Linked DNA regions of Mus musculus: regions 1, 2, 4, 5, 6 and 7 are each reported to be linked to region 3. The links are microRNA targets in miRTarBase. Many come from high-throughput screens and were not tested one by one. Region 3 holds a microRNA gene; each other region holds the end of a gene's coding sequence. Distances are between the middles of the regions.

Evidence for each region. The annotated mature microRNA mmu-miR-124-3p reads UAAGGCACGCGGUGAAUGCC and lies in region 3 at 1,929-1,948, shown strand. An mRNA with a match to its seed (bases 2 to 7 or 8) in the 3' UTR can be bound and repressed. Matches are read on the target gene's strand: a 7mer-m8 pairs with bases 2 to 8, a 7mer-A1 pairs with bases 2 to 7 and ends in A, and an 8mer does both.
Region 1: miRTarBase lists Atat1 as a target of mmu-miR-124-3p. The part of its 3' UTR that is shown has no 7-base or 8-base seed match.
Region 2: miRTarBase lists Acp6 as a target of mmu-miR-124-3p. Seed matches in the 3' UTR shown: 7mer-m8 at 526-532.
Region 4: miRTarBase lists Pdk1 as a target of mmu-miR-124-3p. The part of its 3' UTR that is shown has no 7-base or 8-base seed match.
Region 5: the mRNA of Dlk1 is a reported target of mmu-miR-124-3p. The part of its 3' UTR that is shown has no 7-base or 8-base seed match.
Region 6: the mRNA of Tlr2 is a reported target of mmu-miR-124-3p. The part of its 3' UTR that is shown has no 7-base or 8-base seed match.
Region 7: the mRNA of Suclg2 is a reported target of mmu-miR-124-3p. Seed matches in the 3' UTR shown: 8mer at 2,746-2,753 and 7mer-m8 at 2,271-2,277.

Annotation. Positions count from the first base shown.
Region 1 is chr17:35,894,373-35,898,426 of GRCm38, reverse strand. It overlaps Atat1 (alpha tubulin acetyltransferase 1), which reads left to right. Exons shown (of 13, transcript NM_001142744.1): 11 at 1-39; 12 at 128-170; 13 at 512-832. The coding sequence ends at 686. It overlaps 2310061I04Rik (RIKEN cDNA 2310061I04 gene), which reads left to right and starts at 1,049. Exons shown (of 6, transcript NM_001033630.1): 1 at 1,049-1,236; 2 at 2,355-2,756; 3 at 3,055-3,143; 4 at 3,308-3,508. The coding sequence starts at 1,165.
Region 2 is chr3:97,175,978-97,180,043 of GRCm38, forward strand. It overlaps Acp6 (acid phosphatase 6, lysophosphatidic), which reads left to right. Exons shown (of 10, transcript NM_019800.4): 10 at 354-599. The coding sequence ends at 491. Among named protein-coding and RNA genes, the nearest start is that of Acp6, 19 kb to the left of the region's middle.
Region 3 is chr2:180,892,155-180,896,220 of GRCm38, forward strand. It overlaps Mir124a-3 (microRNA 124a-3), which reads left to right and starts at 1,886; the gene lies at 1,886-1,953.
Region 4 is chr2:71,899,380-71,903,445 of GRCm38, forward strand. Pdk1 (pyruvate dehydrogenase kinase, isoenzyme 1) reads left to right here. Exons shown (of 11, transcript NM_172665.5): 11 at 605-4,066. The coding sequence ends at 745. Among named protein-coding and RNA genes, the nearest start is that of Pdk1, 28 kb to the left of the region's middle.
Region 5 is chr12:109,459,970-109,464,035 of GRCm38, forward strand. It overlaps Dlk1 (delta like non-canonical Notch ligand 1), which reads left to right. Exons shown (of 5, transcript NM_010052.5): 5 at 1-3,367. The coding sequence ends at 391. Among named protein-coding and RNA genes, the nearest start is that of Dlk1, 8.5 kb to the left of the region's middle.
Region 6 is chr3:83,833,099-83,837,164 of GRCm38, forward strand. It overlaps Tlr2 (toll-like receptor 2), which reads right to left. Exons shown (of 3, transcript NM_011905.3): 3 at 3,174-4,066. The coding sequence ends at 3,322. Among named protein-coding and RNA genes, the nearest start is that of Tlr2, 6.5 kb to the right of the region's middle.
Region 7 is chr6:95,471,749-95,475,814 of GRCm38, forward strand. It overlaps Suclg2 (succinate-Coenzyme A ligase, GDP-forming, beta subunit), which reads right to left. Exons shown (of 11, transcript NM_011507.3): 11 at 1,261-3,416. The coding sequence ends at 3,301. Among named protein-coding and RNA genes, the nearest start is that of AY512915, 140 kb to the left of the region's middle.

The sequences.
Region 1 (4,054 bases), not on the chromosome of region 3:
GCCGCCATGGGGGATTCAATACCTCATTCCTGGGTACAGGTAAGTAGCCACTTTTTCTTATTCTCCAACCAAATAGGTCACACACACATACGACTACAGTCTCCCTAGATGCCTGGTATTTCCACAGGCAACCAAGAACGGAAGCAGGGGGAACAGGAAGCGGAGGATAGGTGAGGTCTACACCTCCCCCTTAACAGCTGCCAGCACCTTCTGACACTGCCTAACACTACTCCTCCTGCTTCCTCCTAAGTCTGTGTGAACTGGATACCAGTTTCCCCCACACATCTTTCTACCTAACGTCGTATAAGCCTTCTTCCTTGTGGCTTGAATTCTGGTGTTTTTCCCCTCTGTCGTGCTCTGAGTACTTAAGTTTGGACACCGTGGTAACTGTCCCAGCCTTAAAACCCAACAGGTGTCTGTACATTACCCTGCACCCACAACCTTGAAGAATTGTCTCAGCGTAATTCCCCGTTAGCAGCTCTAACACACGCTTCATCTCCCTGCCCACCAGGTCGGCCAGTGAGGATCGGGTCTTGTTACTGGATGGGTCTGGGGAGGAGCCTACACAGACAGGTGCTCCAAGGGCCCAGGCGCCACCCCCCCAGTCCTGGACGGTGGGTGGGGACATAATGAACGCCAGGGTCATTCGAAACCTGCAGGAACGCCGCAGCACCAGGCCTTGGTAACCATGGCCAAAGCTTAGTCCTCAGTATGGATGCATTCATTCACTCATTCATTCAACAGGCCTGTCAGCCTCAGATCCTTTGTATCGTTATTTTTAACCAGAGCAATAAAAGTATTTATTTGTTATCACTATAGCTACCGACAAAAAGTGACTTGTCATTATTCAAATTCACATGCCCCTCAGTCTCTCTCCTGAAACTATATTCAGTCCTACCTCCCCTCATTTTGCTAGGCCTGACAAGAGGCTGCGCAGGCGCCCTGGGAGCGCCCCGGCCCGCTGTGCGCAAGCGCACTCCCGCGTAGCGGCGCCTGGGCTGCTGCGGGCCCGCTGTGCGCAGGCGCACGGTCTCTCCGTTTTCCTCCCTTAGCCCCGGCCCCCCCCTCCCTCCTTTCCCCTTCACGAAGCCGGCTCCGGGGCGCGCTGCCCGGCGAGGAGACGGAGACGGGACGCGGGAGGCGCCCGTTCACTCCCGGAACACCATGTACCGTCCGAGCCCGGGGGCCGCCCGGCGCCTCGGGCCCTGCCTCCGCGCCTACCAGGCGCGACCCCAGGTGAGGAGGGGCGGGCGGAGACCCTCCTCAGAGCCGGCCGAGGGGCGGGGCGCCGGGCCGCGCAGGCGCAGAGGCCCCCGCCGCCCCTGACCACCCGTGTGCTGCACGTGTGAGGGGCGCGGGGCCCGCTAGGGCCGGCGTTCCCGGTGAGGTCCGGGGAGCGGCTATCCCGGGTGGCCCCGGTCCCCGCCGTTCTTACCTGTGCCTGGAGGTGACTTGAAGGGCAGGGCAGAGAGGCCGGAACTGCGGGCCTGTGGTGCACCTGCAGAACGGTCCTGCCCGAAAGGCTGGCCGCTGCACCGGGTCGGGCTCCGGGGGACGGCGGGAGCACGGCCACGCCCCCGGCGACGGGGAAGGCTCCCAGAGGGCTCGGCCAGGCCCCATGGACCCCCTGCCCCTGGGGTTCCTGGGCGCCAAGGGACTTGGAATCAGGCTTGACCTCGGGTGACCTGCCATCCTTGCAGTAGCAGCGTTAGTGACCGAGTTCACCCTTCAGCAATCGGCCCGATTGTCATTTAATGGTGCAGAAAATGATAATATAGAATATATATGTAATATATAATGATAATAGCTTCCGTTTATGTACTACTTTATGGGTGACGAAGTTTATACATTCATCATCCTGTTATATAGGCCTCTCCTCTATTTACTGGAAACTGAGGTGCAGGCAGAGTGCCCAGAGGTTCCAACAGAGTCAACTCAGAACTATTCACACCTTCACTTGGATGTTCTTTGCCCTGCACAGCTCTATTTCAGAATCCTGATACATGTTATATATAGATCGCATCATTTCTCCCATGGAGCAGTAAACCAGGATAATGATGGAATCATAGGTGTTCTTTCTAAAGTTGGGGACGGTGGCCCTGGTGCTGTTGTCCTCCTGCGCTCTTTCCTCATGTCTCCCTTTCCTCTGGTAAACTCTCTTCTGCAGGTAGGACTTGAAGCTTCTGATCAGCCCAGCTGGGGTGGAGGAGCATGAGCTGATTTCTTGTTCCTTTGTTTGGTTTTGTTTTTTAAAACTAGGTCTGTGTAGCCCTGGCTGGCCTGGAATCCATGGTAGCCCCTACACCACCATGCTTAGATGTCTGATTTTTTTCTTTTTGTTCTCTTTTCCCTAGGACCAGCTCTCTCCTCGACCTCTACCATTCCCCCCGCTCTGGCCCCACTCCACTCCACCGACTTCTCCATCTTTTCCTCCTCACCGGTCACTACCACCCTCACATCCTCCTACCCACCATCTTCCCCAGGCTCCTCCACCACCTCTCTCTCAGGCCCAGGCTCTCAACTCATTGAGTATGGTTCTTCCTCCGAGAAAGAGGGAGAAGGGACCAGGACCGGAACTACACAGTGGTTGCCTGGATGGGCTTAGGAGCCTTTTTGAGGGACCGCCTTGCCCCTATCCTGGGGCTGTGATACCTTTCCAAGCCCCTGGACCTTCCCACTCTTCCCCCACCACTCCATCAGGAGATGAGAGTATGGAGGAACACCTGGCTGTCATGCATGAGAGACTAAGACAAGAGGTAAGCAGCCCATCTGTAGCAGGGAAATATGGAGACTAGTCAGTTAACTTGTCCTCGTTACTGTGCTGTGAAATGCCTTCTTGGGGAAAGGGTGTCCCTGTTTGAATTAAGGACCATTAAATTGAAAGTGCCGTTTCACTTGGGGCGGGGGTGGGGGAGGGTGAGTGGAAGTTAGAAGACCCTAAAGATAGATTACTGAGGAGCCAAACTGGTTATACTCTGGAGGTTGAGGGAAGAGGATTCCAAGCTCAAGGACTGAACCTTTCCTGCTGAGTTGATGCCTTCTTCTTCCACCTAGCTTCCCACCCTCTTCCTTCGCTCCCATGACTACACTATATATTCAATGGATGTGGAATTCATCAATGAGATCCTGAACATTCGTACCAAGTGAGAGTTGGGACGAGGGAGGGAGAAGAGGACCCATGCTAAATAAATACTTGGGTCTTGTCCCAGAGAAGGTTCTAGCTGCTTCCTGAGACTGTTCCCCCACACCTTGGCAGAATCAGTTTTGGTTCTGCAGTCCTGATATTCCTGTCCCTTTATTCTCACAGGGGCCGGACATTTTATGTTATGTCCCTGACCCTTTGCCGCTTCCTGGTTTGGAACTATTTTGCACAGTTTCGGTTGGAGATTTTACAGCTGACCCGCCACCCTGAGAACTGGACCCTGCAAGCCCGCTGGCGTCTAATAGGTCTGCCCATACATATGCTCTTCCTGCGTTTCTACAGGCGTGATAAAGAGGATCTTTACCGGTAAGAGGGAAGGGGCCGAAACTACAGTGGCTTCCCTAATACTGCTGGTCTTCCAGCAGTCCTTAACTTACCCTGATTTGGCTGTCATCTTACTGAGGGTAGAGATTTTTAGTCTATCTTTTTAAATTTTAAAATAACATGTTTGTGTGCATGTGGTAGTGTACATTAGAGCAAGTGAGTGTTTAGAAGACAGCCTGTGGGAATGGGTTCTGTCCTCCACCATGCACACCCTGGGGATTGAACTCAGGTCCTCAGGCTTGCCTGCAAGTACCTGTACACAACCATCTCAATGGCCCAGCCTGCTTTTCAAAAAGTTAGTGGATTTTTGTGTCTGTTAAGAACTCAGTGGCGGGCTGGTGAGATGGCTCAACAGGTAAGAGCACCCAACTGCTCTTCCAAAGGTCCTGAGTTCAAATCCCAGCAACCACATGGTGGCTCACAACCACCCATAATGAGATCTGACTCCCTCTTCTGGTGTGTCTGAAGACAGCTACAGTGTACTTACATATAATAAATAAATAAATCTTTAAAAAAAAAAAAAAAAAA
Region 2 (4,066 bases), not on the chromosome of region 3:
TTCTCCAGCTCTCCTGAGTGTGTCTGCCAGGCTGTACCTTCTCACTGTGAGGCCTGTTTTAGGAAGTCACAGAGGTGTCTTGGTGCCCTGGCTAACCCAGCATTATTGATGTCTAGGAGAGGAACTGTGTACTCTGCAGGGGTGGGACTATTAGCTCTTTCAGCTCAAGGCCAGAACTCTGCTAAGGCCTCTCATCTAGTCAGTCAGGATGCAATGCTTTTTAGTCTGGAAACTTGGGTCTTCCTGGCTGTTACATGTGTGCTCATCCATACTGTGTGGCTGAGCCTCTGGGCTCAACTAAGGGCAGAGGGTGGAGCTCTCTACAGACCTGCTGACTTCTGTTTCTTTTCCAGGAGCAGGTACCAAGGGGCTGCCCCGACAAGCTCTGTCCACTGGACAAGTTCTTGAACACCATGTCAGTTTACTCTGTAAGCCCAGAAAAATACCGAACACTCTGCTCCAAAACACGAATAGTAGAACTTGGAGAGTGACTTGTTTACACAGACAAGTTGATTTTTAAATAAAGTGCCTTTATATAAAAGAGCATCATGTTGAGATCAAAGGGGGGAGGTCTCTACATGATTTTTATTTTATGTCTGAATGTTTTGCCTGTGTGTAAAATCTGTGTACTGCTTACATGACTGGTGCCCTACAGAATCCAGAAGAGGGTATTAGATACCCTGGAACAGGAATTAGTTAGAGATGGTAGTGAGCTGCTTTGTGGATGCTGGAAGCCAAACTTCCCCTGGAACAATAGCCAGTGCTGGTAACCACTGAGCCACTTCTCCAGCCTCATGACAAAGGTCAAAGCATTGGTGTGAGCCTAGGGAATTGTGACACTTTGGGACTCTAAGAACTTTTCTTCTTGTGTTACTCAGGCTCTGTTAAGTCCTGGTTATCAGAAAGGTGGTAGGTTCTACCTTCAAGTTATTGCAGTTCAGTGGAGAGAAACATAAGTAATTGGTGGCTTATAGGGCAGTGTCTTAAGCTAGGACAGTATATTATGTGCAGTGTTCTGAACATGGGAACAGACCTGCTCCTTCTAGTAGGGGTTACACAGACAAGCTAAGTGGTCAAAGTTGACACTGGAGTAGTAGTTAGGGTTGAATTCAGCATTCATGAATAAATACAATCCAGAATGTATATAGACTTAAGGACGGGAATCACATGGTCATCTCAGTAAACAGAAAAGCCTTCTGGCAAAGTCCAACATCCCTTCATGATTAAAGCCCTGAAGAAACTGGGAATAGAAGAAACATACCTCAACACAATAAAGGCTGCGTATGACAGACTTACAGCCAACATACAATAAAGGAAAAACTAAAAAGTCAGAAATAAGACAACCATGTCCACTCCATTTACTCAATATGGTGCTTGAAGCCTTAGCTAGCGCCATAAGGCAAGAGAAAGAAAAGAAAGGCGCACAGATAGGCAAGGAAGAAGCCCGATTACCCTGTGTGCAGACGGCATGGTCCTATGCATAGGTGACCTAAAGGGCCCCCAAGGAAACAAGCTTAGTGCAACAGGATGCAAAATCAGCATTCAGACATCAGCTGCCTTTTTATAAAACAATGACAGAAGACAGGAAATTAGTCCCAATCACAATAGCCTCAGAAATAAAAATGGGTTTAAAAGTAAGAAAACTAAGCAAAGAAATGAAAGACCTTGGCCTGGTTAGATTTTACTGTCAATGTGGCAGAGCTAAGTCACCTGGGAAGGAGGAGTCTCAGTTGAGGAATTGCCCAGATCAGATTGTCCTGTATCTAGGTCTGTGGGGGATTGTCTTGATTGCCAGTTGATAGGGGAGGGCCCAGACTATTGTGGGCAGTGCCACTCCTAAGACAGGTGATCCTGATTGCTTACGGAAGCTAGTTGAGCAGTAACTAGAGGGAGCAAGCCAGTAAGCAGCATCCCCCGTGGTTTCTGCTTATATTCCTACCTTCCCGCCATGACGGATTGTGTAATACCTGGAAGTATTAGATGAAATACACTCCGTCCTTCTCAAGCCACTTTTGGTCTTGGTTTGTGACAGCAACGGAAAGCAAATGAGAACAGACCTCTACACGGAAAACCTTAAAACACTGAAGACACTACAGGAAGGGCTTCGCATGTTCACCAGTCTGCAGTATTAATTCTGTGAAAACGGCCATACTACCAAAAGCAACCCATAGATCCGCTGCAACCCGGCAGAACTCCAGGGACAAACCTTCACAGAAACAGAAAAGACAACCCTAAAACTTAGAGAAGCACAGAAGACCCCAAATAGCCAAAGCAATACTAAGCAAAAAGCAGTACGGAAGGTCCCATAATATGTCAAGTTACACTACAGAGCCATGGCATCAAAACCAGCATGGTATGGGCTGGTGAGATGGCTCAGTGGGTAAGAGCACCCGACTGCTCTTCCAAAGGTCCGGAGTTCAAATCCCACCAACCACATGGTGGCTCACAACCATCCGTAACGAGATCTGACTCCCTCTTCTGGAGTGTCTGAAGACAGCTACAGTGTACTTACATATAATAAATAAATAAATCTAAAAAAACCAGCATGGTACTGGCACAAAACCATGCATAAACCAGTGGAATGGGATGGCACAGAAGGCCAAGACAAAACTTCCTGGCTGTGGGCACCCAATTTTTGACAAATATAAAACACACACACCAGAAAAGCCAAACGTCACCAATTCCGTGCTACAAACACTGGATATTCACAGGTAGAGGAATGAAAGTAGATCCTTAGTTATCACCTCGTACAAAAATCAAAAGGGAGCAATGGCACCGGAGGCCTGAAACTCGGGTCTGTCAGTGAGAGAGAGGAAAACATGCAGAGAGAGGCACGAGCCAGGGTTTCCTGACAAGTGCTCCAGCTCAAGGAAAAGTTGCAAACGATGAAGAGGATTGTATGAAATTCAAAATCTTCCTCAGATAACGAGAAGCAACGAGAGACAGGGAAGAAACCTTTGCCAGGCTGACAGGGCACTAACGCCTCTAAAGAACTCAAAAGGAATTGAACACTCTCGCCTAACACACACCTCACAACCTCTGTGTTGGTTTGAATGAGAATGGCCCCATAGGCTCAGACCCTTGCAGTGTCCTTGATGGGAATTTTTGGGAAGCGTTAGGAGGTGTGGTTTGTTGGGAGAGGTGTGTCACTGGGCATGGGCTCTGAGGTTCCAAAAGACACCCCTCCCCCACCTCCTACCTGCAGGTGTTTTAAGAATTTTTCAGCTGTTGCCACCATCATAGACTCTACCCTCCAAAGCCATAGGTCCAATAAAGCACTTTATTTTATGAGCTGCCTTGAACACGGTCTTTTTTTTTTTTTTTTTATCACAGCAATAAAAAAGTAACTACAAACAGCTCAATAAGTGGGCAAGCACATAAACAGTAAAGTTTGAGTGCCTTAAGTATAAGGGGGAAAAAGTGCTCAAAACACCTAACCCTCACAAACAGAAAACCCACACTGATTTCATCTCATCCCAGTAAGAAAGGCTGCAATGAAGTGGACCAGCAGCAAATGCTGGTAAGGATGTGGGGAAAGGAACCCATCCACGCTGCTGTCGGGAACAAAAACTAGTCCCTGTGGAGATTGCGGAGACGTTCCTCTAAAACCTAAAGCTAGATCTGTCGTACAATGCAGCTGTACCACTCTGAGGTGTACCTCAAAGCGTACCACAGAGACACCTGTGGGTCCACATTTTCTGTTGCTCCATAGTTCTCCATTGGCTAAGCTATGGAACCAAACTAAATGTCAATCAGTGGAGGAACGGGTCAGGAATATGTGGTATGCATACACAAAGGCGTTTTATTCAGATATCTACAGAACAAAGGAATATTTGCAGAAAAATGAATCAAGCTGTAGCAAATTGTATTAAAGAAACTATCAAAGCCATTGTCAGAAAGATAAGGTTTTTTACATGTGGGTCTTAGAGTGTATATATATATTTACATGTTGATATAGTTATAAAGATAGATGACATGAAACTAGAAGAGGATTATATAGGAAAAGGAAATGCAGAAAGGGTAAACAGAGACAAATATACAGTATGATTGGATGAAAATATCCATG
Region 3 (4,066 bases):
TCTTCGGGGGTTCCCACGGGGCTGGAGAAGGTTGGAAAGGGAGGGGGAAGAATTTATGCCTGGGTCATTTAGCTTCTGTTAGAGGGCAGGTGGTCAAGGGCTGGGTTGGCCCAGGGAGAAAGGATAGGACAGAGGCCTGCCTACTTCTGTGTGGTTCTTCCAGTCTGCAGGAACAAAGGCCCGCTGGGAAGGCCTAGAGTGGCGTGGGTTTTTTTTTTTTTTTTTTTTTGTTTTTTATTTTTGGAAAGCCGCTGATCTCTAGCCCTAAAGACCCAGATCAAGGTAGTCACCCTTCAATAGACTGCAAAGAGTAGATTCAATTGCAGTCAACTGTGAAGTATGGACTGTGTTTCTCCCATCCTCGTAAGCAAGGACTCGCTACCCAGCTAGAAAAAGGGTGAAAAAGGGGAGCAGTCTCTGATGGGGGTTGGGGGAGATGTCTAACTCCCTTCTCCACATAGGGCCGCCAGCAGGAGGCTAGGACCCCTTTCTTTCCCCCCCCCAGGAGAGAGAGGCTCAGAAGCCACTGTGTAGAGTGGTTATTCCGGAAGGACCAGCCGCTTGTGTGAGGCAAGCACAGTGTGTTCGCTGCACAGCGGGGTGTGGCTGGTGGTGGGTGTAGAGGAGCTGCGGTCGGTGGGCTGCGGGAGAAGCTTTTGCGTGGGTCGTGCAGTAGGACAGAATGAGCGGTTCGAGAGTGTCCAAGAGGCAGTTTCTCTGCATACGTGTGACCCCGGGGCGCCGGGCACAATCGAAGGCGTTCGAGGGCTGCATCCGTGTGAGTCGAGGAGCGCGCGGAGCGGGACGCCGAGCGTGTGCGCGGGAGGCACGGGTCGCGCGGTGCGTGAGTGCGCGTGTACGCGGTGCGCGTGCCCCTCAGTTCTCAAGGACACCTCCGAGAGGAGGCGGCAGAGCCGGTGTCGGGTGACGTCACCGCGCGCCCCAGTGATAATCGCCCGGTGCCGGAGCCGAGCGCGGATACGAGCGGAGGCAGCGGCGGCGGCGGCGAGCGCGGGGACGGTCGCACCCGGTCTAGGCAAGGAGAGTGGGAGTCAGACTCCCGCAGTGCCGACCTCGCGGACGCCGGGCTCCCACCCGGCCCTCAGGAATTTGCCCGGCTTCCTTGGCACTGTCCCTGCGCTCTCCTCCACCCGGGGCCGTAGCGTGCGGGTCCTGCGGGCGCCAAGAAGGAGGCGGAGGCGGGATCGGGCGACAGCGCAGGCTGTGCTGCGGAGCGGAGGCGGCAACCGAGAAGCAGCAGGCGGCGGCGGCTCGCGCCCGGACGGGTAACTGCGCTGGCGGCCCGTGCCGGGGCGAGCCGGTCTCTCAGGTCACCCCGTCTTTCTCTCCTCGAGCAGCTTCTCGCCAGCCAGAGGCGTAAGAGAAGAGAGCTCGGCGGGTTGTAGAAAGAGACTGCTTTTCATCTCCGAACATCGAGGTTCTTTATTTTCACCGCACTCACGCACTCCTGGTGGGGCCGGGAAGAGGAGCCGGGGAAGGGCAGCTGCGGAGAGGCTTGCGCCGCCGGGGTGGAGAGGGCTCTGCACCCGTCAGAAGACTGCAGCAGGCCGGAGCACGCGCGCTCACCCCGGCCGGCTCCTGCATCTCCCTCGCCGCGGCTCCGAGGGGTCCCTACTGCAGGAACGCCCCGAGGGATTTGCCCGGGCCCTTCTCTACCTCGGGGAGGGGAAGGAAAACTGGCTCCTCGGAGTTGGGGGCGGACCAGGGCAGCACTGCCAGCTTAGCGCGGAGCCCCGCCCCGCCCGCCCGCCCCGCGGCGAAGAAGCTGGAGCATTCGCGCCCCTCAGGCTAGGACCCCACGCAAGCCGCAGCCCGGCCCCGACCCGGTCCAGCCGCTCGCCGCCCGCCGCAGCCCTGAGGGCCCCTCTGCGTGTTCACAGCGGACCTTGATTTAATGTCTATACAATTAAGGCACGCGGTGAATGCCAAGAGAGGCGCCTCCGCCGCTCCTTTCTCATGGAAATGGCCCGGGAGCCCGGCCGTCGCGGCGCCCCTCCCGCGGGAAAAAGGCGAGCCCCGGCCCCCGGTGGCCCCTCGCTCCGCGGACAAATCCGGCGAACAATGCGCCCGCCCAGAGGGCGGCCCAGCTGCTGGGCCGGGGATCTGGCCGCGGGACACAAAGGGGCCCGCATGCCTAGGACGTCACGAGAAGGGTGGGGGCGACCGCGGGGGAGAATGTGGCCACCCGGCCCCTGACCACGTGTGTCCGCAGCTCTGAGTGCTCGAGATCCCGAAGAGGGAGACGAGGGCCAGAAGACAAAGGGAGGGGCTGGGGAAGCGGCGGGCTGAGGGGCGCGGGAGGGAAGTGTGCAGCTTCCCGGGTTGTGTTGGCGCGTCCCGCTACCCACGGGCAGTCCTGGGCGCTGTCCTCGGTGCTGGCCGTGGAGTCACCCAGAGAGACGGGGCGCTAATGCGCTTGGGGCGAAGGGATGTCATGAGTATCACTGTTCCCATCTAGGGGGCCCTGGATAGTTGCCGCAGCAACCCCAGAGAAATGGGGTAGGGTCTGGGGTCACTGCAGTCTGTCCCCTGGGCGCTCTAGTTGGGGTCGCAGGGTGAAGGCGGTGATCACTTTGATTCTGAAGAAACCCCTGAACCTTAGGTTGAGGTTCGAGCTGTGGAAGTGGGGGATCTGCATCTGCATCCAAGGTCTAAATCTGGGTGGATACACTGGACCGCATCCCGCCCCCAAACCTCTCTCCAGCTATGCGGGACGCGAGGCACGTGAGGCTCTGCAGCCCAGAGAGAAAATGACAAATCCTCCTCCTCCCTCCCCCACCACCATCTGCAGCCGCAGTGACACCCACTCAGGTCTGCTGCAGGCATTTTTTTTCCTGTCCTCGGCAGCCAGCGCCACCTGCTGGCGTCCTGGTATGAGACTCTGCTCTGGCATGTCTCCTCCCAGCAAGGTTTCCGATCCCCAAGGTTACAGGCCCTATTACCTAGGGCAATGGTTCTCAACCTTCAGAATGCTGCTACCCTTTAATAGAGTTCTTCATGTTGTGGTGACCCCTCCCCCCAACCATAAAATTATTTTCGTTGCTACTTCGTATTTTGTTGCTACTTCATAACTGCAATTTTGTTACTGTTATGAATCCTAATGTAAATATTTTTAGAGATAGAGTTTGGCAAAGGAGTCCTGATACACAGGTTGGAAACTGATGACCTAGGATTGACTGTCAGTGGAGGAGGTCACAACCTCTGCACCCCCACCCCCTCAGACAAGTTGCAGACTTGCTTTTCATCTTCATGGGGTGAGTGTGAGCCCCTTTCCTGGCTCTGACCCAGATCCAGAACTGACCGCCCAAATTCTCCTAGCCTCAAGTCCTGTGCAGTTGCAGAAAAGCAAGACAAAAGGGCCCGCGTGAAGACACAAAGAGATGCTGCAGGGAGACTGCTTCAGTACTCCATGGAGAGATGCACACAGTCACACACTCATAGACCACTAGTGCCTTTGCATCCTGTCCCCAAAGCAGAGCCTCTGCAGAACCTCTGCCTCTTGGAGGGTGGAGAAGGGGCCCAAGCATACCACAGCTCTGACCTTGGGCTTGCTGTCTCTTTTTCCCTTCCTCCCTCAGAAGAGCTGCAAGGTGAACTCAAAGCAATACTGAAGGAATTGGTAGAGGTATCAGTCCTCTAGTGTAAAGGTTCCTAGGGGGCACAGGACTATGCCCCTCGTTGAGCTCTGTTGGGGGTGCTCTACACTGCAGCCTGGCTCTTTTCCCAGAGGGAAGATTCCCCCTGCCTCTCCCCTGGAACTAGAGCTCCATTCTTGTGCCACCGCTGCCCTTGCTGGAGAGTTGGCTCCTGACCACAGTGACCTTCTGGGCTGTGAGCAGAGATCGGGGTGGGGAGGATGGTAAGGGAGGTGGGCTGGAGAGTGGATAGGCGGTAAAGCCCATGGCAAGCTGCCCTGTGCCCCAGCCCAGGTTGAGTAGCAATCACCTTCACTCACCTTCATTGCACCCCCTTCAGTGGAGGCTAGGGGCTTCAGTTCAGGGGCACAGGACCAATCTGGGCATGGCTAGCAGACATGGGGCATTCG
Region 4 (4,066 bases), 110 Mb from region 3:
TTAATTTTTATAGAAGATTATTTTATGTGTACAAGTGTTATGCTTACATGTGAGTCTCTGTACTACATGTCTGCCTGGTGTGTGTGGAAGTCAGAATAGGGCATAAGGTTTTCTGGCTCGGAGTCATAGGTAGTGGTGAGCCAGCATGTGTGTGCCAGGAACCGAACCCAGTTCCTGTGCAACAACAAGTGCTCTTAACCACCGAGCCATCTCCGTTCCTGCATAGTAACGCTTTTAATAATACATTACTATATAGTGAAAAAGATTGGCTTTCTTCTCAATAAATCTGTGTATGAATATTAAGGTAGTAGTAGCAGACTCCTGGCTGGGCTTGCACTTTTCAAGAGATGTCTGTTCTGCTTGGGTAGACTTTTCCAGGCTGGCTAGCGGATACCTGAAGCATCAAACCCAACTAGTGTGTTACCAGTGCTCCAGTTGTAGTAAATAGCATTTCCTAATGTATCCACCCTGAAGATGGTGTGTGGTTAGTAACTAGTTGATGAGATGCCAGCAGAACCCTGTTTACTTTGTGGTCGCTGTTTGCCACTGTATATTATCTCAGATAACGAACTCTCAGAAGTGTCTGACTTCTTTTCAACCCCAGGCTCTGTCGACAGAATCCGTCGAGAGACTCCCTGTGTACAATAAAGCCGCCTGGAAGCATTACAAAGCCAACCACGAGGCTGACGACTGGTGTGTGCCCAGCCGAGAGCCGAAAGACATGACCACATTCCGAAGCTCTTAAACGCACATGGGACGCCTGGCACATCCACATGTGGTTTCTGCTAAATTTGGAAGACATGTATTTGGAACCACACTGTTCCAAATATTTCACGTGTGATCTTCACAATTAGTGTTTGCTGAAGCTCCTAAAGGATCGGTTATGCCAACTGTATTCTGATGTGTTGGGTTAATTGGGCGTGGTTTTGAACACACATAATTTTGGTCAACTACCCTTGGTATGGTATGGGGTGTGAAGTTCCTGGTTTCTGTAGGAAGCTGAGTATTTCTTTCAAGTTTTCACTTACTTCTGCTAGAAGCATCTGAAGAACGTGGAGTAGCTGGCTAGCGGCCTCTCTGCTTTTGGAGTTCTATCATCTGTGAGTGGTGACACCTAGTCAGATGGTCTTCTTATCTCCCACGAAGAACAACACAGTGATCCGTTAGAACCCACACAGGTTGTCAGAGTGCTGAAATGAATTGATCATGGCATCATTTTTTTGCAGTGGATTGTAATGACTGGTTCCCCATGGAGCTAAGTCCAGAGCGTGGTTATCGAGTTTACTGTCAGCACAAGGGATTTTCTTTAAAAACAAAGTCTCACTGTGTAGCCCCAGCTGGCCTTGAGCTTACAAAGCCCTCGGTGTCCTGAGCGCTGGAATGAGAAGGGTGTGCCACCACATCTGGCTTACAAGAGAAACGTTAGTCCCAAAACAAGCCAAATGGCAGCAGAGAGTAAACTGTTTGGGAAGCACCAAGTGGCCCAGGCCGAGCTGACCGACTGCTGAGGTGATCTGAGGATGAGCGTGAGATTCTCTGGGTCCCACCCAGGGATCCAGAGGCTGAAGGCCAGGGACCAGGTGAGGCTCATGGCTGGCCTGGCTGGAACTATATTTGGGAGTGAATCGTGACTACTGCTGTTGTCAGAGTGACAGACTAGATTGGGAAGCTTGTCGGGTTGCTACACATTAGGGGACATAATCTGAATCTCAAGCCTGGTGCAAGCTAAAGCATTAGCGGGAAGACCAGGGTGACAGCGAGAGGTCAGGTGACCAAAGGCTCAGCCACCTTGGTTTCCAGTGGTGACTAAGAACATGTATTTTTCTAAAATATCCAGATTTTTTTTTTAAATCAAAGAAAAGTCAGCTTATATTAACTACAGAATTCATTTGCAGCTATGTGTTGATTTAAAGTCTGCAACAAACGCTTTGAAGTATTGATGTTATTTGTGTTAGAATACAAACCTATGGAGCAGGTAATGACACCTGGGTTCTCTCTCAGTGACCCAGAGTCACACAGAATTGGTGCCCCAGCCTGAGCTGTCTCTGCTGATCACTGTCCACTGTCTGGGATATTTATAACCTCCTCTGTTAGGTGATGGGGAAGTACTTGGAAAACATGCTTTGCCACTTGCCTAGAGGGATTTGGGGGTTTGGTTTGGAAAATGTAGTGAGTTAAAACATGTCACTCTTGACATGTTTTATCCAGTCTTCACTCTGTGTCCTACACATACATACATCTGTAATACAAAAGCCAAATCATGTGACATGGCACAAAATAGAACTTTGGTGCCAGTGATAGGAACATGCAGCCTGAGCATGCGCCAGGGTGGTCAGCCCAGATCCTTAGCTGAGAGGTGAGGGGCCTGAAACTCAGGTCCTATTGGCCCAGGGTTTTTAGCTAATACTACCAAATGTTGGAAAATATACACCGTATACCTGCTGTTTCTAATTGAGGACTTTGTAAGAAATAATAGATCATGCTCCTGAGTGGCATTTATTCAGTGTATTGCACTTACTAGCTTTCAATTACACTTTACTGCAATGATGAAATATTTTGGAATCTTTTGTACAACTGTCAATAAACGTACTATTTTTACTTGTGAAATACTTTGCCCTCTCCAAGGAATTAAAAAAAATTATCCCCCTCTCTGCTTAAGAGCTAAGAAATGTTTTCAGACAAGAAGAATTTAAAATTAGTTTACTTTAGATTCTTTTTAAGGTGTAGCACCTTTTTGCTCTGTTGTAATGGTAATGGATGGAGACAATGTGACAAAGCTCTAGGGGACGCTTTCCAGAGTTACTTTTAAAGACACCTGGAAGGTTTTTAGATTCTTAAGGTGAGCCATTTTGTCTGCCAGCGATAGTTTTATGTGGTTTAGGTATGAAAATAGAGTTGATGGTTGGGGAATGGACAGCAAGTGATTTTTATAACCTGGGCAGTTAGTGAGTGTGCCAGTGTAGTGTAGGAAAGGATTGTAAGAATATTTCACCAGGCAGTGGTGGCGCACGCCTTTAATCCCAACACATGGGAGGCAGAGGCAGGCGGATTTCTGAGGCTAGCCTGGTCTACAGAATGAGTTCCAGGGCAGCCAGGGCTATACAGAGAAACCCTGTCTCGAAAAATAAAAGACTATTCCACACTGTAATTCCAAATGCTGGCTGGTTTTGATGCCTTTACATTTAATAATGGTCAGTGTCTTACACTGAGATTTCTACATGAAGACATAGAAGCAGAATTCTACCGCAGCGTGGTGCATTTTCGGGGTGACTGAAAACTGAAAAGATGGATCAGCTTTAAAAAAAAATTTGAGCCACTTAAGGATCTTAGAAATATACTCGTGTCCTTTAGACAGCAGTCTGTTTCATCATCAAGACTCAATATCTGTACAGGTTCAACGAATTGTAACTAGTTGCCAGCACTGGCTCAGTGGGTAAAAGCATGGCCATCAAGCCTGGGTTAGGGATAGGGTTGGAGATCTTTCCTCAGCACGAATGGTGGAATTAGAGAAAGAACCAACCATCCTGTGAGTTATCTGTGGTTCTCCACACGTGCACTGTGCACATGCGCATCCCCTACATACACCACACTAATAACTGTAGCCAGGTGTCTTGCACTCTCAACCATCTCCTAGCAGTGCTTGAGGCAGGCTTGCACTGTAGATAGCCTAGTGGGCAAAGCAGGTAGAGTTCGTGTGCTTAGAGTTATCCTAGATTTCCCTTTTCTAATACACTGCCAATGATTGACATGTGCTGGAGAACTGGTGGATAATTTTGAAGAGCTGTATAAGTAAGTCATTTTCCACAGTAGAAATAACAGTAGGGAAAGGCTTAGTGTAACTGGCACTGCCTTCTACTCAACACTGGTGGAATCTCCTTTAGTCAAGACAGAGTATGTCCTATTGCTCGTTGATAGCGTGGGTCCACCACGCCTGCCTTTCACCGTTACAGCGGCATGGCGGCACACACCTGTAAGTAGATCTCTGAGCTTGAGCCAGCCTGGTCAACATAGGGAGTTTCAGGTTAGCCAAGGCTACATGTACGGACCCTGTGTGCTGTATTTTTTT
Region 5 (4,066 bases), not on the chromosome of region 3:
GGTCACCCACCTGCCCAGCGGCTATGGGCTCACCTACCGCCTGACCCCCGGGGTGCACGAGCTGCCTGTTCAGCAGCCCGAGCAACACATCCTGAAGGTGTCCATGAAAGAGCTCAACAAGAGTACCCCTCTCCTCACCGAGGGACAGGCCATCTGCTTCACCATCCTGGGCGTGCTCACCAGCCTGGTGGTGCTGGGCACCGTGGCCATCGTCTTTCTCAACAAGTGCGAAACCTGGGTGTCCAACCTGCGCTACAACCACATGCTTCGCAAGAAGAAGAACCTCCTGTTGCAGTATAACAGCGGCGAGGAGCTGGCGGTCAATATCATCTTCCCCGAGAAGATTGACATGACCACTTTCAACAAGGAGGCTGGTGATGAGGAGATCTAAGCAGCGTTCCCCACCCCCACTCCCAGGCCCTTCACCCCACCCCACCCCAGGCCCTTCTCTATTACCGGGGTTCCTTAGAGCTCTCTACGCAGTCTGCGCTTTTTGTGGTGGAGTTTGCTCTATTGTGTGGAATCGAGTGAACGCTATGCTTACATATATTGTCTTGTGTTGCTGTGTGCCATGCTACCACGCTATCTAAGAACCCCTTCCTCCCTATTAATGCATGATAATGAATAATAATAATAAGAATTTCATCTCTAAATGAGTTAAAGAAATAAGTATGTTATTCTAAACTCTTATCAAGTATCAAATATAAAATATCAAAAAGACCAAAAAAAAACATGGTAACAGAACCAGGACTTAGTGCTGAGGTCCCTCTCCTGGGGGGGGTGTCAGCCACCAGGTCCTCGTGAAACCATAAGAGTGTTGTGCTTGACCACTCACTGTGAAAAGGGCTAAACTCTTTCGTTCGTTAATTCTCACGCACACTCACATCAAGTCTCACACCGCAACCCTTAGATCTTTCCGATTGATTGTGACTCTGCAGTGTGTAGTGGCTGTGTGCCAGGCAGAGAGAGACCCCAGGTTGGCTGCTGGCAGAGAGGTCGGGACCTAGTCCTAACCCAGCTGCGCACTCGCTGTGTGACCCTTGGCGAGATTCCCCCACCTCCAACCCTGGGCCACTTCCCCACCCCTCCCCATAAGGGAGGGGTGCAGACACCCAAACACCAAAGTCCTCTCTAGCTCCCAAATTCAGAATTAGGAACGATGGATATATACCAAAACACTTCTTGACTCCAAGAGTAGGACCTGATGGAGACTTGGTCTCATCCTGGGATCCGAAAGGTTTTGGCCTATCCTGGCTGTACACTTGATATTGACGTCGATCCCGATAGCGTTTCTCAAAATGGGGAGCCTCCTGGCTCATGTCCAGTTTGGGAAAAATTGGCCCCTTTAGGTCAAAAATGTGCCATTTGGTGTTGCCTCTTGAGCAACCCATTCCCTACCCTAGCCCAAGACTCCACCTCATGCCCCTCAAACCCCACCCCATATCTGCCCCTCACCCTGATGTAGAGTAGAGATGTGCTTTCAGACTTCAGTGTACCTCGAACCACAAGTGCCCCCCCCCCGGGCAGAATCTGAGTGAGCAATGCAGCCCCCACCAAGGTTTGCACAGGCTTTAGTGACACTATGGCTTGTGGGGTGTTTTCTTGTTCTGTAGCAAAAGCGGGAAAGCAGCTGTCCACAGCCATGGATGTACCTTTGTGTGGCTGAAGTTAGGACCCTCAGATCCCCAAACACCTAGCCAGCTTCTTAAGTAGAATTTTGACTTATTTTTTAAAAGAGCATCTATCTTTTTTTTGCAAAACAAAACAAAAAAACAAAACAAAAAAAAAGTAGAAAGAAATGGGAGAGAGCCCTGTGTAGCTCCCTGACTCTTGTTTGGGGTCTGGGTGCTACACAGTCCTTGGGTCCCCGTTAGGAATATTTTGCTTCTTAGATTATTTGGGTAGGAACCTATGCTCCTAAGCTTTAAGTGTGAGCCGTGTTTACCTTGCTCTGAGTACTTGCTTGCAAGTCATTGTCACCGTTGCTGTTCGAATCATGATCACAGCACACACTTCATGGTCATCAGCCATTGGTCATACGCGTCTCCGTTGTCACACATTATCGACCCAATCACCCCTCCAACCTCTACCCCAGGTTCATTTCACCCAAAGCCCTGACTCAAAGAATCTCTCCCCAGCCATTGGTCATTCATTACCTTCAGCCCAAGCCCCTTCCAGTCCCACCCTGAAACCCCTCCCCCATTTGGCCCCAGCCTCATCCTGATGAGGGTGTGTCCCAGCTCCCCAAATCTCCACCACCTCCCATGTCCCTGCCTCCTAGCCCCTCTTCCCCTGGTTCCCTCCCTCCCTCCCTCCAGGCCCCTCCCCTGCCTCAATCAGTCCCGCCCTGAGGCAAACCAGCCCCATCACAATCACCTCATTATCCCATCTCATTTTGAGTTCATTTTAAGAAATAAAATCGAAAAAAATTTAAAAAAAAAGTATTGACATATGCCAGGAGGGTTTCTGATACCCTTCCTGGCCTCTCAGCGTGAGACCTTGACCGAGTCTGCGAATAATTCTGCTCCTCGGTTTCCCAATTTGGAATTCTACAATTGGACAAAACAGCCTATTTCTCCACGCCACTTTTTTTTTTTTTTGATCTCCCTGTTGTGGAGAGCAGCCGTGTCTCTGTGTCTCTCCTGATAAAGGGGGCCCGGCTGTTCTCTTAGCAACTCCTCCTCCATCCAAAAGATCCATCATCCACCATCCATCCAGCCAGGGAGTGTTTCCAAGCACCTGCAGAGTGTAAGGCAGTGAGTGTTCTTGGAGCTGTGGGATGTGCAGGCCGAGGGGCATAGTCTGGGAGGGGAGTAGACATGCATGTGCCCCCAGGAAGCCAAGCACAGGGCAGGCAAAAACCCAAAACTCCGTGGAAGCCGGATGGTCCAGAGCAGGTGCCTCCCTCAGAGTGCCACCACCTCACCTTCCAACGTGACCAAAGATCAAGAAACCAACATCAATGAGGCGGCCCCGTCAAAATTCCACGGCATCCACCCACACAACAGGAGCAGCGTTTGCAGTCTCACCCTGGTCTTCACGTCCGCAGAAAGGGTCCATCTGCGACCTCACGATATCTGCTGAGAGCATCAGATCTCTGGCTGCCCATACACATCTCCTGTGTTTGGTGTAGTGCAGTGTACGCAACGGGTGGTGAAGCTAAAAGACAGCTGTCTGGGACATTTTCAAACTAATCTGACCCCAAATTAAAAGTGGTGATAATTCTGTAACCAAAATGTCAATGAAATGTCCACCAGGGCGCTCTTTCTAGCTTCCCCCATATTTTTTCTTTGGCAGGCAAGTCCAGACGCAATGCAAAAAGAAACAACAACCTTGTTTATTGTTAAATAAAGGAACAAGGGCTTTACTTGTGTTTGCTATTTACTTACGATTCGCCAGTTGCATCAGCCCCACCCATGATGGCCTTAAACATAGGCCGGGAATATTGGGACCTCCATTGAGGACCAGGTCCAACTCTTTCAATGTGGCCTGGTGCCACAGGGTTAAGGGTGGGGGACTTGAAACCTCAGCATTTCCTAATTACAGGAGGCCTGAGACCACCAGGAGTTGGGGGACCTTGTCCGTATCTTGCTCCCTCCTTGCAGCCCATGGGAGGTGGAGATAGAGCTGGGACAATGGAGGTACATGAACAGGGGCCCTAGGGATCCACACATGAGCAACAAGCTCTTCCTGCTCAACAAGTTTGGACCCAGAGAGAGCTCTGTGCACTCTTCCCTGGCCTTTCTGGGGTTATTAGAGGGTTGATGCTAAGGTGAGAGAGAACATAGGTTAAGGATATCCAACAAGGGCAACTTGGACCATGGCAGGTGTGCAGGCTCCTTTCTCTCTCCTAACTCAGTCTCTGTGTGTCCTGGTAGTACCTATTCCTCTAACCCCAGGACACCAGTAGCCATGCGTCAAATCAGCGGTGCACCCTCTGAATACGCCACTCTGGAGGCCTTGGAGGCCTCAGTCTAGTTCCTACTGGCCCAAGAAGTGATCTTTGCTCTGATATCCCATCTCCAGCCTCTCCCATGGCCTGTGTGCACCCTTGCCTGCTCAGCTG
Region 6 (4,066 bases), not on the chromosome of region 3:
GTTTGTCTTCCACTCCACAAAGCCAAGTTTCATCTGTTGCATCTCCTACAGCAGAACTTAAAGCAGTGCCCAGCAAGAGGAACCATTCAGAAATATTTGTTGCAGAAGTAAGTTCATGTGGCAAAAAGAACTTAGCCAACAGAATACATAAGACCAGTTGGAATGAACTGGTCCAAGAATGACATGCTGGACTCTGGTAGTACTTTGAATGAGAATGCTTTCCATAGGCTCAATGTTTAAGTGCTTGGTTCACTATTGATGCCATTGATTGGGAGGCCTAGAAAGTGTGGCAGTGTTAGAGGAAGTCAGTCACTGGAACCAGCTTTAAGAGTTTAAAGACTTGAATTATTCCGAGTTTATTCTCTCTACTTCACGCTTGTAGTTCAAGATATGAGCTCTCAGCTTGTTGCTTTAGTAGCCATTCCTGCCTGCTGCCATTCTGCCCCGTCATAATGGTGATAAACTCTTATTCTTTGGAGCCACAAGTCCAAATAAACCCTTCCTTCTCAAAGATGCCTTGGTCATAGTGTTTTATCCCAGCAATAAAAAAATAACCGATACTACTGTCTGCATTTCTATTGCCATTCTGGTATTTCAAAAGCCTAGTGGAATGGCCAGTAATCTCTGAGTATAGCAAGCAAGGACTTGTTGCACCTATAGTTCCAATTTCTTCCACATTATTCCCACAAACTAGTTTCAAAGGCTTACAAATGGTAAAAATATCATTGCAAAGAACCCACTTCTTGGTACCATTTCCTTTATCAGTTTCAGAGTTTTTTTATACTGAGGTACTTGCTCTATTTAGAGTTGATTTTTGTACAGAATGGAAGATAAAGTGTAGCTATATTCTTCTGTGTATAGACACACAGTTCTCCTAGCATCTTTTGCTGAAGATTCAGCCTTTTGTCCTGTCTGTATTATAACTGGGATCTCTACTTTATCCCACTGGCACACATGTCTATTTTGGTGCTGCCACTATGCTAATTTTGTTATTATGGCTCTCCAGTATAGTTTGAAATCAGCTATGGTGACACTTCTAGCAGCGTTCCTTTCGCTTAGGATGACTTTCATCATCTGGGTTTTTTTTTTTCTTCCAAATGAATTGTGAAGACTTTTTTCCTAATTTTATGAAGAACAATATATGAGCTTTCATTGGTGTCACATTGGCTCTGTGGTCTGCTTTTGATAGAACGGCCACTTTCATAATGAAATGCTTTGCATCTATGAGCAGAGCAGATCTTAGTGTCTTCTTCAGCCAGGCAAACGATGTCACCATTGACAGCCCCCTGGGGGTGGGCGTTAAATTTCACTGACAACTGAAATACCTCTACAATGAAAATGGTTAACACACTGAAGAAAGAAAGTGAGTGTGTCTGCTACTGGTTATAGGGGGTTATTAGGGTGTGTGTGTGTGTGTGTGTGTGTGTGTGTGCGCGCGCGCGCGCGCGCGTGTGTATAATTTTGCATCCGGCCACTTCACTGAAAGTAGTTTTCATTTCTATGAATAATGAAGATTAAAGGTCATTTTTAACTTACCAAACTATGAAGCCATTTCTATTGTGGTTTAAATTATTTAAAATTGATAATGGGTCAAGTCAACACTTCTCTGGCTAAATATATAGTTACATATAGAGAAATGAGTCTTTGTTTGGGCTTTCTGGGTTATTTGGTGGAGATGCCCGTGTGAAGTGGGAAAGTAGGAAGTACATTTATTGCTGTGATGGATTTCTGTGGTTTCTCCTCAAGGGTAACAATAATCTGAATATGTTCACTTATTTCACAGGCTGGCCTATGTTTTCTGCCCAGTACTCTCCTGGGAGCTTATGAAAGAAAGAAACATTGAATAATTTCCCACACTAAAGCTCATTACACACTAATGTAAAACAGTAACATCAGTAGCAACTATCTATAACTATCTAACTCCACAGTACCCCTAGGTCCCATTTGGATAAGTCTGATAGCCTTGCCTCCATAACCCTTCTGGCCACAATGGCAGCCAGGAAGTATGGTTTTCTTCTACCTCAGCTCAAACCCTGTGCATAATCCAGCATGCACAGAGCTTGCTGCCCATTTTAAGGATGGGAAAAAGTTTTGGGTTAGGCCAAGTGACTTGCTCAAAATCACACATCTGTTAAGCTAAGTATCTCTGACGCCAAAACCCAATTAACCACATAAACCCAGCTCTGGCCGAGAATTTGAAAGGGGTCAAAGGAGGTTCATTTCCTTGTACATGTGGTTCCCAGCACCAGAAGAAAGTTGCCGAGAATCAGTGAAGAACCCTTAGTAAATTCCATTAAAATGTGATACATGATCAAATCTTACTTATAAACGTTAAAGGCAGTGGAATCTACCACATATGGAGTTATTTTGAATCATAAGAAACCTCTGGGCATATAATTATTTTAAAAATCTTTTTTTCACATTTTCTTTTTCAGACAGAAAAAGAAAAGCTTCACAGCTGGGCGTGGTGGCGCACGCCTTTAATCCCAGCACTCGGGAGGCAGAGGCAGGTGGATTTCTGAGTTCGAGGCCAGCCTGGTCTACAAAGTGAGTTCCAAGACAGTCAAGGCTACACAGAGAAACCCTGTCTCAAAAAAAAAAACAAAAAAAAAAACAAAAAAAACAAAACAAAAAAAGAAAAGCTTCGTAGAACTAGTTATAAGACTTTGCACAGGAGAAAAAGCAACAGAATGCCTAAGGGGGTCAGAAACCATAGCAACCAGACACTGGAAATTAATAGCTGAAATCCAGTGGAAATCTGCACCAGGACATGGGAGACTTCTTTCAGATCCTTACAAATTAATAGGTAATTTATACTTAGAGAAAACTATCAAGGACTCAGAAAGACAAACCTAGTTCACACAAAAATGCAGCCTGTGTCATTTATATTGGAAGATCTGGTGGGATGGTGGGACACAACCCCCTGTCTAGGAAGAGCAACAGATTTGCCTGGATGCCCCAAATACTGTGACTCCTTGCCCTTGGGATCAGCTACACAGAGGGATGGCAGGTGAGTAGATTAGCAAATGCTTTCTCTAGCCACCCTATGTCGCACTGACTGGATACAGGCACTAAACCGTCAGTCTAAATGTGCTGTCTCCAGATGTTCTAAGTGAACAGGTTATTCAGATATCAATACAGGAGAGAGATAAAGAAAAACAGAGAAACCGGTCTCCTGATGTCACATATTTATATAACAGTATTCAAGACAAAACCCATAGTTAATATCCTCAATAATACAATTCTATGTTACTTATAAACTTTGTTACAGTTTGTGTCACAAAGACCTTAGTTAAGGAAGTCAGGAACTGGGTGGAGAACCTAGGACTTTATTGCAGTTCTCAGATTTACCCAAAACACTTCCTGCTGGCCTTCATCCAAGGGCCACTCCAGGTAGGTCTTGGTGTTCATTATCTTGCGCAGTTTGCAGAAGCGCTGGGGAATGGCTTTCCTCTCAATGGGCTCCAGCAAAACAAGGATGGCCGCGTCGTTGTTCTCGTCAAAGAGCCTGAAGTGGGAGAAGTCCAGTTCGTACTTGCACCACTCGCTCCGTACGAAGTTCTCAGAAAGCACGAACACAGTTTTGTGGCTCTTTTCGATGGAATCGATGATGTTGTCAATGATCCATTTGCCCGGAACGAAGTCCCGCTTGTGGAGACACAGCTTAAAGGGCGGGTCAGAGTTCTCCAGCTGCTGGACCATGAGGTTCTCCACCCAATGGGAATCCTGCTCACTGTAGGAAACAAAGGCATCATAGCAAACGTCCCTGCAGGGAGCTTTCTTGGGCTTCCTCTTGGCCTGGAGCCACGCCCACATCATTCTCAGGTACCACAGTCCGTGGAAATGGTGGCACAGGGCACCTACGAGCAAGATCAACAGGAGAAGGGCACAGCAGACTCCAGACACCAGTGCAGCCTGGTGACATTCCAAGACGGAGGGCCGGGCATCCTGAAGCCTGTGGCCGTGCAGGCGAGGCGGAGAGTCACACAGGTAGCTGTCTGGCCAGTCAACCAGGATTTGAGCCAGAGCTGGCGTCTCCATAGTAAAGGATAGGAGTTCGCAGGAG
Region 7 (4,066 bases), not on the chromosome of region 3:
GTCCCATAGGGTCAAAATTAGGAAAAACATATTCCCTACTTTTTCGTTTCTGTTTCACCTTGATGCCGACACCTGCCCTTCCCAATTCCAAGGCAAGAACAGGCCACTGGCTTTTGGTTTGGTTTTGAAATCTAAAGTGGAGGTTAAGATGCTTTTCCTGTGAGGGGCCAGAGATTAATATTTTAGGGTCATGAGGTTTCTATGACAACTATGTGAGCTGTTGTAGCATACACATGGCCACATAACACACAGAAACTTAATGTACTCTAATAGGCCCTGTTGCCTTAGTTCGGCACCTTCAGGTCACAAAGTCTATGTAATAACACACCCTGCCCCACTCCTCCAATATTTATTTTTTACTATTTTTATAAATTCTATCACTGTATTTTTGAATATATATTAGATCCTGCCAAGGATCTCATTAGACTTATAAATGTATAACTTAGAAGTGTCAAAAAGAATTTTTATTCCCATTTGTATTCAAGTTTCCAATTTAAAAACAAACATAGTTCTTCACAGTGATTTTCTTTTCCTTGAGGAGTAAGCAGAGAGAGGACACAGACACATACTGTACAAGGAGTCGTTAAAAGCCATGCACACGAAGGTCTGGTTAGGTTAGGTCTAGCCAGGTCCAGTTATCTGGAAACTTTCCCTGCTGGTTTACTAATTTATGAATGGAGACAGAACCCCAACGGAAAGGCTCTGACTGACAAATGCAATAGGCTAACCAAGTCAAAGAAATGGATGGTAATAAGCGGGAGAGTCAGAGACGAATCTCTAAATACAGTATCTGTCCTAGGAAACTGTGGCCATCAACAGTAGAAGAACAAGCCAGTTACAAACCCACACACACTGAGCAGTTCAGGGGTCATCTTTGGATATTTAGACCGTTCTTTTCACGGACATTCTGTGCTTTTACAGAGCCAAAGTACTGATAAGGAGCGCTAGGAAGACAGCTCAGTGGGAAACAGTGCTCGTTGTGCAAGCGTGAGGATCTGAGGTACAATCCCTGGCATCAACAGAAAATGCTGGGCATGGCACATATGCCTGCAACCTTGGCTCTGTAAGAAACAGAGATGGCAGGACAGCAGGATCACTGGCACTTACTGGCCATCAGTCTAGCTCCAGGCTTAGTGGGAGGCTCTGCCTCAAGTGAGTAAGGCCTAGTAACTGAACAGAACATGCAACATCCTCATGTGGCCTCTGTACACACGCATGTACACATGCGTGTACACACACACACCCCACACTACTGACAAGACTGAAAGGTAACTATTTTAATATTTTTATATAGTTACAGGCTGTTAAGAAATTCAAGACATGGGACACACCAGAGTAGGGCACATAGGGGGACTTAGGAACCAACAGCATAGCTGCAGCAGATTCTCTATGACTAAGTATTGCAGGGTCCGTTCCACACACTTCAGGATACAGGCATGATACTGGTACAACATCGGGGATTTGAGCAATCCAAACACACACAATTGGCACTTCAGAAAGAAAGAAAGGAGGAAAGACAGAAAGACAGACAGACAGACAGACAGAAAGAAAGACAGAGAGAAAGAAAGAGAAATAAAGAAAAAGAGAGAGAGAAAGAGAGAAAAAGAGAAAGAGAGAAAGAAAGAAAGAAAGAAAGAAAGAAAGAAGGAAAGAAAGAGAGAAAGAAAGAAAGGAAGAGAGAGAAAAGGAAGCTCATTTGAAGAGAAAAACTATTTGCCTATTATTAACTAATATTAACCCTTCTATAAAATAACTACACGTATGCTTTCGTTTCTTTCCCCTCCAAACTGGTTGATTAGAAACATCAATATACAAGATAGACACAGTTCCTTTATTGTTTGCTAACTGAGGAAATGCACATTTACTTCTATTTAACTGTGCAAACTAGTTAGTCAGCTATCAGAAAACAGGAGATTTAAAAAGACCTTGTCAATAGTCTTCACTCCTTGTCATGTTTGAGAAAAGACGCAGGATTTGATCTAGTCGATGTTTCTTTATTTCTCCACGGCACATGTGGATTTATCAAGTGAAGACTTTTTATTTTATCAATCTGTGAACTGTGTGAGGCTAACATGAAATAAAGTGTGGCTCGCTGTGCCGGGGCGTACGGATGGGAAGACTGTTACACCGACGTGGCCCCTGCTACACGGCACAGTGCGTGACTGCACCACACCACCCTGACCACCGTCAGGGACAGATTCCTGGGCTTGTGTCTAATGTGTACATGTTAGCCCTTCACTGAATCACCACCACAGAAATGGTCACATGGCAAGGCACTGTGGCGCTGGAACAATCCGGGTCAACTGCAGTTTCTTAACTAGAGCTAGGCCTCTGGCACAGAGGCTAGTGTCTTCACAAGAACAGATAACAGACAGAAACAAGAACTGTGAGGCTAAGTAGCACTGAAAAACAATTTTATTTAAAATGTATAGGACTATAAATTTATCAAAATTAAATCAAAAAAATCAAGTTAAGAAAATTCCTGTCACAAAAAAGGACATCATTAGGAAGGTCACATTCTGTCCAATGGCATCTCTCATCTTTCTGTGGCAAACTGATAGATGTGAGGTGGAGGGGACAAGAGGGAAAAGCCTGGCCGCTACCAGCAGCTAGATCATTAGTGTGACTCTTTATGAAATAGATTAACATTCAGCAACTCTGACACAAAATGAAACCTTCCACCTCACACCCATGACTAAGGCTTCTGGTAGTAACTTAGTGTGAGGCAAACAGTAGATTCAACATTAAGGCACAGGGTAAAATGTGTGCAATGTACATATATCAACACGGGATGCCCAATATAAGCCACACTTTAGAAATGTTCATGGGCTTTCTTAATGTACTGGAATTAGGGGCCAGTGGAGGCCACTGGTCACAGAAGCTCAGGTGTCTTAGCTGTACCCTTCTGGAAGCCACTATGTTAAATATCAGCCTGTCTGAACTTGAGGGTCCTGTAAAATTTTCTAATGTAGAATAAATGCCCTTGTGAATGAACCTAGATCTGGCTTTAAATACTGTATGTATGCACACTATTTGGCTAAACTGACTGTGGCCCAGAGCTGGTAGACCCTGCTACTGAATGGGCAAGAGAAGATGTGAAATTGTAAGGAGTGATTTTTTTTTTTAAACAATGACTACAGTATAAATTCAGCTTTAGGCACTCTGGATAACGTATTTGAGAAAGTTCAGAGTTAATATTTTTCACATGATGATCCTTGTGTGTGTCCCTTCCCAGTGAGAAAACAATTGCTTTCACAGTAGTCAGGGACATGCCCTTCTTCATGGGAGCCAGGGAGAGCATCACTTCTTTGCCACACTGGCAACAGCTTTCTTGGCTGCATCCTCCAGGTCCACAGCTGACGTGATGGGGAGTCCGCTGCTCTTGAGGATATTCTGAGCCTCCTGCACATTAGTTCCTAGAAGGGGGAACAATGGGAATTGATAAATTAGTTTGACAGGGGCACACCCAGTCAAGTTGGACAACTGCAATTCCAGGATGCCCGGTCTCCTTGATGCCAACAATTTAAGTAGAACACATGTGGCTTTTTACTGCCAAGCTCTGGCTTTTCAGATATGCCCGGCTGACATTTTCAGCCCCTCTTCTTTTCACTTTAATGAACTCTCATTAGAAAGACACTTCCTGTATTGTCCCTGGCACTCCAAAATGAGAAATAAGCATTCTTCCAGATCATGCATACGCACAATGTTTCTCAGGCACCTGCTCAGTAAGTTTGAAGGAAGAAAGTCTGCACTGGGCCTGTCTCTTCCCCGCGTCTGGGAGAAGAGGCTTGAGAAGTGGCCTAATGTTGGGAACCGCCCCCACATTCGCCGTCACAAGATGGCGCTGACATCCTGTGTTCTAAGTGGTAAACAAATAATCTGCGCATGAGCCAAGGGTATTTTATGACTACTTGTACTCTACCTTTCCCGTGAACGTCAGCTCGGCCATGGGCTGCAGCCAATCAGGGAGTGATGCGTCCTAGGCGAAATATAACTCTCCTAAATAGGGAAGGGGTTTCGGTTTCATTATTGAAGGGGCTTTCGTTTTTGGGGCTGGGCGCTGGGC